Linked DNA regions of Oryctolagus cuniculus. The protein of the gene in region 1 purifies or fractionates together with the protein of each later gene. This does not show direct contact. Links are inferred from orthologs where the notes say so. Each region holds a gene or a part of one and is shown on either strand. Other genes may lie near its edges.

The links. The genes of interacting proteins can lie anywhere in the genome.
Region 2: the proteins of NUP107 (region 1) and TPR fractionate together in Homo sapiens (co-fractionation; 4 studies listed by BioGRID and IntAct, with this or other methods). This does not show direct contact. The link is inferred for Oryctolagus cuniculus from reciprocal best matches to the Homo sapiens genes NUP107 and TPR.
Region 3: the proteins of NUP107 (region 1) and NUP37 purify together in Homo sapiens (affinity purification with mass spectrometry; 7 studies listed by BioGRID and IntAct, with this or other methods). This does not show direct contact. The link is inferred for Oryctolagus cuniculus from reciprocal best matches to the Homo sapiens genes NUP107 and NUP37.

What each region holds. Positions count from the first base shown.
Region 1 is NC_091442.1:71,066,177-71,069,922, forward strand, and holds the start of NUP107 (nuclear pore complex protein Nup107), read left to right. Parts: upstream 1-1,354; 5' UTR 1,355-1,507; coding exon 1,508-1,515; intron 1,516-2,952; coding exon 2,953-3,044; intron 3,045-3,519; coding exon 3,520-3,606; intron 3,607-3,746. UniProt on the Homo sapiens protein: Plays a role in the nuclear pore complex (NPC) assembly and/or maintenance. Required for the assembly of peripheral proteins into the NPC. May anchor NUP62 to the NPC. Involved in nephrogenesis.
Region 2 is NC_091444.1:3,555,829-3,559,574, reverse strand, and holds the start of TPR (nucleoprotein TPR), read left to right. Parts: upstream 1-1,048; 5' UTR 1,049-1,129; coding exon 1,130-1,199; intron 1,200-1,413; exon of another isoform or gene 1,414-1,494; coding exon 1,495-1,788; intron 1,789-2,542; coding exon 2,543-2,647; intron 2,648-3,746.
Region 3 is NC_091442.1:105,071,916-105,075,661, forward strand, and holds the start of NUP37 (nucleoporin Nup37), read right to left. Parts: upstream 2,624-3,746; 5' UTR 2,515-2,623; intron 1,817-2,514; exon of another isoform or gene 1,678-1,816; intron 1,250-1,677; 5' UTR 1,185-1,249; coding exon 1,029-1,184; intron 1-1,028. Other genes in the region: PARPBP (PCNA-interacting partner), read left to right, coding at 2,980-2,984. UniProt on the Homo sapiens protein: Component of the Nup107-160 subcomplex of the nuclear pore complex (NPC). The Nup107-160 subcomplex is required for the assembly of a functional NPC.

The sequences.
Region 1 (3,746 bases):
CCCCACCTCAGCCTCTGTAACTCTACTTTTCAAATAAAACAAATAAATCTAAGAGAAGAAAGAAAGAAAAGAAAAGAAAAGAAAAGAAAAGAAAAGAAAAGAAAAGAAAAGAAAAGAAAGAAAAGAAAGAAAAGAAAAGAAAAGAAAAGAAAAGAAAAGAAAAGAAAAGAAAAGAAAAGAAAAGAAAAGAAGGAAGGGAAAGAGAGAGAGAAATTGGCCCGTGTGGGAAATTCAGTTGTCACTTCTCTCCTGAATCTCAGGTCAGAAAACAACTTGGGCTTGGTTTGGTGCTGTTTAACTTTGGTGTGAGGACTGTGTTTTGGTGAGTCTGGTCTGTTGGAGGGGCCTAGGGCTTATTCTGAACAATACCCTCCTGGGGCTGGCGCTGTGGCATAGAAGGCTAAGCCTCCACCTGCACTGTCGTCATCTCTTATGTCCTGGCTGCTCATCTTCCCATCCAGCTCTCTGCTACAGCCTGGGAAAGCAATGGAAGATGGCCCAAGTCCTTGGGCCCTTGCACCCACATGGGAGATCCAGAAGAAGCTCCTGGCTCTTGGCTTTGGCCTCCCGGAGGCCTGGCCACCGAGGCCATTTGAAGAGTGAAACCAGAAGATGGAAGATCTCTGTCTCTCTGCATCTCTGCCTTTCAAATAACATCAATAAATATTTAAAATACACAACAGCCTCCTATAATTTTTATTTAGCAGTTGGAACACATAACCGGGCTTATTAGATCAATGAACTAAGGTAGCTACCATTATTATTGTCATCTGGTTACCAACCAGCCAGTCACTGCTTTCAAATTGCAAAAAGCAAAACCAGAATCTTGACTAATTTTTTTCAGGGCCAGAATATCCTACATGATTATTCTTATTAATTTGCCTAAACAGCACTTTGAAATAGAGGACAATACCGTCACTTTCTATGCTTGTTTTTCGACTTCTTAAGACAGATGGTTCTTTTCTCTTTAGTAAGGAAAAAAATACCAAGTAAAGGGCAAACAGCAATTATGTAAAACAGTTTCAAAAACTGTGGGGTTTCACACAATTCAGAAGTGAGCGCACAGAGAAACCCAGGAACCTGTGAGGTGCGGGGCAGAACCAGCACAACTGAATTCCAAGGCCAGGTTCCTTCTCGAAGAGAAAACCAGGAAATGAGCTCTCATTGTCCCAGACTATCAACGTATTTCACAATTCCCAGTAGGATACTACCGCGCCTGGACCACGCCCACAAATGCCGGTCAGGCAACGTAGCGGGTCGTGCGTCACGGTAAATTTGGCCAGGCCCCGCCTTCTGCGCCCTCTCGTGCGCCTGCGCTCGCTTAAACGGAAGTTGCGCATGCGCAAGATGGGAACAATGTTTCTCCCGCACCCTTTTTTTTCAGGGCTCTCTTGGCAAGGGTATACTTCCGGGTTAAAGGATTTACTTCCGGAGAGCGGGAAGGCTGAAACGCGGTGGCTAACCCAAGGCCGAGTTGGCGAGGTCCTGGGTGGAGAAGGCTGTAAAAATGGACAGGTGAGTTTTGGGGGTGACAGCTGGGCTGGGAGTCTTGTCCCTCTTGCTCTTGCCGGAACGAAATAGATGAAACCAGATTCCGGGAGGAAGCCGAAGAGGTCCAGGGTGCTGGTCCTTGGACGCCTTTCCCGGACCGGGAGATTTCGGCACCTGACGGAGGAAAGCCTTTCGGCGTGGGTTGGGGAAGGGGTGTGGATGGTCGTCCCGCAACTCGCGCCGCGACCCTGCGATCTGTCCGGTGCCTTCCCGCAGCGTCTTTGGTGTCGCGGGTGGGCGGGGTAGGTGGTGGCCGTGCTTTCGAGATGCCGAGCAATCCGCTGGAGACGGTGAAGCTGGTCGGCGACGGCACCGAGATCTCAGCCAGCATCAGATAGGTACCGAGTTCGCCTTACGACCTGGGCGCGGTGGCAGCCGTCTTGCGAGAAAGAGGAGTTATTCAAGGTCCTTGGCCCCGGGGAATTCGTCGTGTAGTGGCAGCGATAACCCCGCCAAGTCAAGGAATAAGCGTTTTGTAGTGCACTGTGGGGAAAATGGAGCAGGTAACAGCCCGTCTCGGGAAGTCATCGGGAAGACCTCTCAAGGTAACGTTCTAGCTGGTGTTATTAGTCCGCAGAACATCCCCACGGTGCCTCCTCTGTGACAGCCGCTGGACTAGCGGTGTATATTCTGTTAGCTTGTTTAATCTGAAGAGCAGTCGTAGGAGCAGAAGTAGCATCATGGGCAACACTGGGGCTAAAGAGACGAAGTAACTCGGTGAAAGCTAGGAAGCTACCAAGTGGAAGAGCCAGGTCACCTTCGCGGACCTGGTGTCTCCAGCCCCCGTGAGGCTGAGGGCTAAGCAGGTGTTCACCTGTGAGCCAGCGCGCGCATGTGGGTCTCTGGGAAAGAAACAGGCTCCGAAATGTGCGGACGTGAAAGAGTGCGTGCTTTGTGCAGCCGAAGGGTCGTAAGGCGGTACCTGTTTTAGGGGGGCGATGTATGGCTGTGACTGTTCCAGAAGACTGTCGACCGCGTGTGATCCCACCGCAGCCTCCTGTGTAAGACAGGCGGGACTGCGTTTGGGAGATTGCAGAAGATCCTTTCAGGAGATGGTTCCTGCAATTCAGGAATTCCGTATTCCAACAGGGAGAGAAAAGATTTACCTTGATGCCGCAATTATCTAAAGCAGTGTTAAAACAAATTCCCAGGAGAAAATAGCATAGTGCTGGACAGTCAGCCAAGTTTTTGTGCAGGGGACCTTAAAGTGGGGTTTGGAGGAATAAGCAGGATTCGGAGCTGAGAGGGCATTCTCAGCAAACAACAGAGATCCAAGACTTAGCTGCTGGAGTGACCTATCCCTGGGCTGACCTGGGGGCTCCTGCTCCGTTCTTATTGATAGACCTTTTGTGCATGCTGCATTGTCATTTCATTTACCCGAGCTTGATTATACTGTTTTAGGGGTGGCTTCGGAGACTTGTCATCCCCTGTGATCCGAGAGGCAGAGGTGACACGCACTGCCAAGAAACAGAGTGCTCAAAAGAGAGTTTTAAGTATCCTTTGCATTTTAAGCATCACGTTACCGATTGTGGTATGTTTAGAATCAGTGTGATAGAATTTTCTTTTTGTGAGCAGTATTAGCTATAATAAAATGCTGTAGAAATTAGGTTTGTTCATTTCACACATAATGTTCTTGATAAATATATTGCTGAAGTTCAATGAGATTAAAATTTATGTTTTCCTGGAAACAAAGATGTTCTGTTTTACTGCTATCATATTTTAGTAAGCTTTTGCTGAGATGAAATTTTCTCTTTTTATTTGAAATCAAAGAACACTTCGGTCAATGTGTAGTTACCTAATATTGACATCCGAGAATTTAAATGGCATGAGGAATTACTTGTTTAAATGGTAGCTATAAAACACCTTGTTCTTAACTGTATTCATGTATTTTGTGTAGTAAAAATTTGGTTAATTCTAACTTTAGTGATCTCTTTTTTGCAAGGAAAATTTTCTTAACTCTTCCTATAGTTCGAACATCCCAAGATGAAAATTTTGTTAATACCACACCAAGAAATCAGATTATCCCTCGAACTCCCAGCTCATTTCGACAGCCTTGTAAGATTTTTGTTATCTGTTTTACCAAGACTGAAAATGAGACTTCAAGAAGTTAATATGGATAATAAGGATGTAAATAATGGACCCAGGATTCAAATATTGGTTTGTTTACTCCAAAGCCTAGGCCTGCTACAGCATAC
Region 2 (3,746 bases), on another chromosome or scaffold:
CCCAAGCACTTGGGCCATCTTCTACTGCTCCTCCAGGAGCCGGATCAGAAGTGGAGCAGCCGGGACTCCAACCGGTGTCCATATGGGATGCGCGCGTCGCAGGCCCGCGGCCCAACGCTCTCTGTCCGCCCCATGGATGATGGGTTGGGGGCCTCAGTGCCGGGATCCGAGACGAGTTAGCCTCCTGGACTCCGGTATCCTAATCCAGGAATCAAAGGGCCCGGACCCTGGTGTCCGCCGCGGGCGGCTCTCAGCACAGCGCCCAGGTCGGATCCTGAAGCCCCTTACTCACCTACCTCGACCCCCACAGGCCGTCTTCAGAGCACCCAGTGTGGGGGCGGGGTGGGGGGATACACGTCTCTGGTGAGCGCTCACTCAGCCAGGCGGGGGCCCGGACCCTGGTGTCCGCCGCGGGCGGCTCTCAGCACAGCGCCCAGGTCGGATCCGGAAGCCCCTTACTCACCTACCTCGACCCCCACAGGCCGTCTTCTGAGCACCCGGGGGTGGGGGCGGGGTGGGGGGCACACGTCTCCGGTGAGCGAGCACTCAGCCAGGCGGGGGCCCGGACCGCGGCGACGCCGGGAGCACCTGAGGAACGCCCGGGCTCAAGAAAGACAACCCGACAAATTCTGCCAGAAGAGCAACCAGCCCGAAGCGGTTCCTACTCCCGCTGCCCGAGCCCCAGCGCGCCCGCCCGCCAGCCCGCCCCGGCCGTCGGGTCCGCGGTTGCCCGCAAGGCGCCTCCCTCGGCAGCGGACCCGAGCGAGCACCGGCGGGAGTCCGCCCGCTCCCTACGCCTCTCCGGACACCCTCAGGCTGACTGACCTCCCGCAGAACGTGCACGCGTGGCGCTCGAGCCCGACCGACTTGGCTCCGCCGCGGCCGTGCGCTCGCGTGCCGGGACCGGCTTCTAGCGGCCAGACTCCTTCCAGGTGCCAACTCCACGGCCCCTGAGTTCATCAGCAAGCGACTCACGCCTATCCCCGGGGGGTCTCGGTCAGGCGGCGCAGATTGATGACGCGCGCCTCCGCCGGAGCGACAGCGGTCGCCACCCCGCCCCCTTGCGGACGCCATTGAGAGCGTGGCGGTAGCCCGGCGCCGGCCCGCCGACTCGGCCCGGGACCGACCGATGCCCTCTAGTGGCTCAGTGTCTCGAAGCCGCCCTAGAGGACGACCCATGGCCAGCCGCGGCTGGGACGGTAAGGACTCCCCGCGTTGCGGGGAGGGAGGTGGGTTGACGAGTCCGAGTGTGGCGCCACCGCGCGGACAGTGGGCTCCGCAGCTGAGAGAAGAGCCCGGGGCGAGGAGGAAGGAAGAAGCGGAACGGGCGGTACGGGACGGCGTTTGCGGCAGGAAGGGAAAGAGCGAGACACCACTTCCCCGGGGGCTGCGAGGCCGGAAGCGGCCCGGATCCGGAAACCGGCGCGCTGCCGCAGTCGGGCCGCGGGCGCTGGGGGCGTTTCGGGCCGCGGCTCACGGGACTCGCCTTCCCAGGTTGCCGCCGCGGGACCCTCCGGCGGGCGGGCGCTCGAGAGCCGCCGAGCGAGACGGCGGAGGCGGCCCAGGCGCCCGGGCCGTGCGGGTCGTCGCCCTTCTCCTCGGACGCCGCCGCCGCCGCGGCCCCCGGCGCGGTCGACATGGCGGCCGTGCTGCAGCAAGTCCTGGAGCGCGCGGAGCTCAACAAGCTGCCCAAGGCCGTGCAGAGCAAACTGGAGAAGTTTCTCGCCGACCAGCAGTCGGAGATCGACGGCCTGAAGGGGCGGCACGAGAAGTTCAAGGTGGAGAGCGGTGAGTCCTCGGGCCCCGGGTTTGCGGACGGCGCGGCCGTTCGTGCCGGGAGGGGTGGTCGCGGGACCCCGGCCGGCCTCCGAGGAGTGGGGTTCGTGGACGGCGGCGCGGCGGGGCTCGGGTGCGCTCGCTGGGCGCCGCGGCGGTCCGCGGCGGTCCGCGGGGGCGGGCAGCGGCCGGGGCGCCGCCGCCGCGAGCGGAGACCGGGACGGGCAGTGCCTGCCGCCGCCGCGCGCTGCGAGGGGTCGGCTCCGGCTTTTGTGCTCGCTGCCCGGGAGCTCTGAGTGAGTGGCGCCCCCGGGGTCGGCTCGCGCCCACGGCTGGTCTCGCGACCCCGCGCGTTCCGGCCGCGGCTGCGTGCCCGGCGCGCCGCCGGCCCCTCGCCTTGGGACTCCGGCCATTTCACTTCCACCTCCGTGTGGTCACTTGATGTGTTTGGCGGGCGTTGCGTGGACTGTCTTACCGCAGGTTTTTCTAAGCAAAGCAGTTTCAGTCTGAACGGTTCTTCCCTGCACTGGGTTTTCTCTCCGGTCGGCTGCGTGCTGGGCACTCTGGACGCGCGGGGAGCCCGCCTCGGGGTCCTTCCTTCTTGGAGGCCTTCGTCTCTGTCGTGTGAGATAGGGTAGAGAAGTGCTCTGTCAGTTCTCAGTCCATATTTATTCAGTTTCTGCTAGCCTGCGCTTTAAAGTCAAGGCTGTTAGACGTATGTACTGGCTGCACGGACCGGTGTTTGAAGCCGTCTCTTCTTCTGCAGAACAACAGTACTTTGAGATAGAGAAGAGGCTGTCCCACAGTCAGGAGAGACTTGTGCATGAGACCCGAGAGTGCCAGAGCCTAAGGACGGAGCTGGAGAAGCTGAGTAAGTATTGGGTGGCATCTTTCTACGTGTTGTTAGAGCTTTGGCGTCTTCAGACTTGCTTTATTTGCTTTGGGAACGTTTACTTACTGTTTGTGAAAATGCTGCTTAGGCATCACTGGTTTTGTTTAGAGCAGCATTTTGATTTTTCACTTCAGCAGTAAGGACTTGGTATGCATGTATAGTCGGGAGACCTGGGGTCTAATTTTGACTTTGCTATTAAATAGAGCAGTTTCGCTGGGGCTGGCGTTGCATCGCATTGAGTTAGGCTGCCACTAGTGACGGCAGCATCCTGTGGCAGACACCAGGTCAGGTCCCAGCTGCTCTCCCTCCAATCCGGCTTCCTACTGATGTGCCTGAGAAAGCAGCGGAAGATGGCCCACACACTTGGGTCCCTGCCACGCATGTGGGAGACCTGCAGAGCGTTCTGGGCTTCCAGCTTTGACCTGGCCCAACTCTGGAGCCCCTGACATTTGGGTAGTGAATGGGTGGATGGGAGATCTCGTCTTACCCTCTCTGTCACTCTGCTTTTCAAATAAATAAATTTAAAATTTAAGGGCAGTTTTTCGATATGTAGATCATAGGTATGTGATTGGAGTTTATAAGGTAGCCTGACCCACAGGCCCATCTAATACAGCTTTGCATATCAAATAAGATGATATATTTTCTTCAGAGATTTATTTATTTGAAAGGCAGTGTTACAGAGAGGCAGAGGCAGTGAGAGAGATCTTCCATCTGCTGGTTCACTCCCCAAATGGCCTCAATGGCCAGGGCTGGGCCAGTTCAAAGCATGGAGCCAGGAGCTTCAGCCAATCTCACACGTGGGTAGAGGGCTCCAAGCACTTGGGCCATCTTCTGATGCTTTCCCAGGCACATTAGCAGGGAACTGGATCGGAAGTGGAGCAGCCAGGACTAGAACCAGTGCCCATATGAGATACCAGCAGTGTGGGCAGTGGCTTTACCCATTATGTCACAGTGCCAGCCCCCATAAGATGATATTTTTGAAAGCATTTTGGGAAAGTGTAAGTGTTATGCTATTGAAGAACATTCTGGAGACAGGGCAGCGTATTTTAAATGTTGCTGTATAATACAGTAGATGAGG
Region 3 (3,746 bases), about 34 Mb from region 1:
AAAAGAGGAAATGTCTACAATAATAGACTACTACTTCAGTGACGAAGTTATCTTAAGTCTTTGAAAATTGGTCACTGCTGCATTACTTCATCTATTAATCTGAGTAACATAGTTCTATGAATAATGCTCTGGTGAACAATGAACTGACCAGAGACTCCTCAGGGTTGAACATTGTGCTTATTCAAAAGTTTGTCTTACATGCAGACTAGCTTTCCTGTGAAAGAACATGGTGTGCTCACCACAAAGCAATCTTAACTTTGGTGATATAAAGGGTCTGAGACTGAGTGTCACTGTTGCCCATATCAATGACAATGAAACATACATAGATCACAACATGCCAGATGCCTTCTGGGAATCTTATACATACATATACTTACTAATTACATCCTCATAAAACTCTCTATTAATGGAATATTATTTCTCATCTTTATAGGAGAGATTAAATACCTGCTCAAGGTTGCCAAGCTATTATGAGGTATAAAAAGCAGAAGTAAATACTTTGTTCTAGAATTCATGCTCTTGGTGGCTATGCCCAACTGCCTGTTCAGTTAATAACGATCTCATACTTTGTTTACTCCAGATGTACGTTTTAGAGGTATAAAATGTACGAAAACAAATAGGAAAGCTGAATAATAGGAAACCTGTAAAATCTCCTGGAAGATAATTTTTTAGACTTTCATTATTAGTTTGTTTCCTATGTCAAAGCAGAATGCAGAAAAACTGTAATTCATTGGATCTCAATTGCGGCTTTTGTTGTATATTATAATGTTTAGTCAGTCATGTACTTCAATTACATGAATCATTCATTACTAATCATGAGTCAAAAGAGGAGTTTCACATTCCTTTTATCACCATCTGCATTTTTACACAAATCTTAACCAAATATTGCTGGGATGTCTTTCTATGTGGATCTTTTTTTTTAAGCATTTAAACTCAATACACACTTTCAAAGTTTAGCTTTTGTTCATGTAAGTTTTCTTATCAGTGAAATATGTTCACTCTCATTCACTGCAGTTTTTCACACTAACCTGAAATGTACACGTGCCAATGACCACAAAGTTATTGCCTCCATATGCAATTAGGTTTCCTGAATCCCCACTCTCAAAGGGGTTAAATTCCACCACGTGCACATAATCTTCACAATCCACAGTGTAAGTAGCATTTCTTGTGGCATTTTGCTTCATATTGTATGTCAAAACTTGAGCAGATGTAAAAATAAAACAGCCTTCTACTGCACAACGTCACAAAACTGTGGATTACAGCACAGACACAATTAGCAATGGTCAAAGTGTTATTCAGCAAATGAATCAAAACATGGTTCTGGCATTGCAATGCTACACACAATTCAAAAGAAACATTTAAAAGTACTTCCCAAGGGGCAAAAACTGCAGGAAAAAACAGCCAATCTAATTATTAATGGCTGAACATTTGTTCCACAATCTTCTTCTTTTAACCATACTCATCAGAGATACCCACAGAATAGTAATATCATAAAATTCTGTTTATGTAAAAGATATCCTGAGTATTTGAAAATGGAATAATTTTAATAGAAAATATATTCACAAAATTGAGACTTAACATTTATAGAGTACTATTTATTAGGTGTCATGTTAAGCATTTTACTGATACTATCATAGCCAATATGTGCACATCCTCGTTTTACAGATGAAGAAACTGAAAAGTTAACTAATTTACCAAGTGGGCAGTTAACTAATTTACCAAGCTCAAAAGCAGAGCCAGGAATTGACTTTGTTGTGTTGGGTACCAGTGCTGGAGAAGGAAACCACAGCTTCCTGCCTTGAAGATCACAACTTAGGTATGGTTTTGATCCAGCGTGAAAAGTGCTACCATATAAGCAGTTAAAAGGAGCTCCAAAATGCGTAATATAAAAACAACATTTGTAAAACCAGGCACAAAATTTTACCCAACCTTCAGGGCCTAGTGTGTGCAGTTTGCAAGTAGCATTCCCACATGAGAAATATAGATTTTTAAAATATAGATTTTAAAGGTTTTCTTCTTTTCATTACACCAAACCCAAATTCAGAGTTGTCGGGCAAACTGATGAACTCAGTAACAAAAGCATACAGCATCTGATGATTATCTACTGAGAATCAGGTGAATCCTACGTCCGGGGGGCTTATGAACCTCAACGAATAGGCAGAAGGACTGCACATTTATTCTGGGTGATTAGATATCCACGCAAGAGATTAGAGGTCAGGAAACCGGGTCCCAGCACCTCACCTATTACTCATTAAAGCAATGCCTGGGGTCACTACGTCCTTAGGGCCTCCCGCACAAGGCGGACTGCTGGCCTCTCCAGACCTACAAGGAGTGAAGGGCCAAGAGAAGTCCCGACAGTGAGCCCCCGCGCCTGGCCAGCCGAGTCCCTAGAGACTCCGCTCCCACCTCCCTGAGCCCGAGATGGGAGGCAGGAATTCCCAGGAACAGGGTGGAAGCGTAGGGAAACCAGAAGCCGCAGAGCGCTGCGCCTCAGGCTCCCACAGGGATACGCACCGGAGAGCGCCGAGAAGCCACCAAAAGCAACCTGGTCTCCGCTGCAGGCAGAGGAGGCGTGCGCCGGCTCTGCTTCCGGGTCGGAGGGCGAATGCAGCGATTGGCTCCCAGGCCCTCCCGCGAGATTTAAAATGTAACCCGTGGGCACTGCGGTAGCTGCGGGACGACTGCCGGGGGGAACCTGGACTTGGTGGGTTCTGCGCCTCCCGCGTCTGCCGGTGAACCGAGCCGGGTGAGTCCTGGTTTCGTCTATGCCTGCCTGTGGCACCTGAAGTGGTGATTCAGGCTGGGGAGGGCATTTCGGCGACAGTCGAGTGCCTGTGACCGTCTAGGTGTTTTTTGGGCAGTCGCTTCGCTCTGGAGCTTAGGTGGGTCTGGGGCGTTATCTGAAGTTCACAGCACCCACATTTTGTTTATTGTGCACCTACTAAGTGCCTGGCACGAGTGGATTATGAGCCCATTTCTATGAGGTAGGAATTACCGTTCCCTTTTTACATGTGAAGATACCTAATGCCCATCAGATTTTAAATGCGAAAGGATGTGCAGCCAACACACGGGAGGGGGAGAGAGGACTGGATCTGAACACAGCTGTGACTGGAAAATAAAGTTATTTCACCATCTCACATTGCCTCCCAGCCACAACTTCCTGTCTCACAATTTGGCTCGAGTGCATCTTGGAATCTAGCTTTTTTTTTTAAAAAAAGTGTTTATTATCTCTGCTGCCTTCTATGACTGGCTTTTTTTTTTTTTTTTTTTTTTTTTTTTTTTTTTTTAATAGCTCAGCCTGCCAATCAGAGTGCTTGCTTATTCACTGCGTTCTCACAACTGGCTGAAAGCTAAGTAAAGAGGGTGGGTATTCTTTCCTGGTTTCTGTGTGATGATGATAGCTCTACCTGGACAGCCAGGTGGAAAGCTTCTCACCTCATAGGGCAGTCTCAGAGCAGCAAGACAGCACCTCCAAGACCTCCCCCCACTGGATCATTTAAGACAATTCAAAGAACTCAGCCTATAGTGATAGTCGCAGGTCTGAGTTATTGCAGCAAAGGGCTGCAAAGCAAAGTCAGCAAAAGTAAAAGGCTAATGGGGCAAGGTGGAGGGAAGACCAGGCACAGAAGACCGAAGGTCCTCTCCTTGTAGAGTCACCGGGACACGCTGAATTCTTCTGCAGCTTGTGGTGGAGTGTTGTCTGTTAGGGAAGCTTGTTAGAGACTCAGTGCCATGATTTCCAGTGG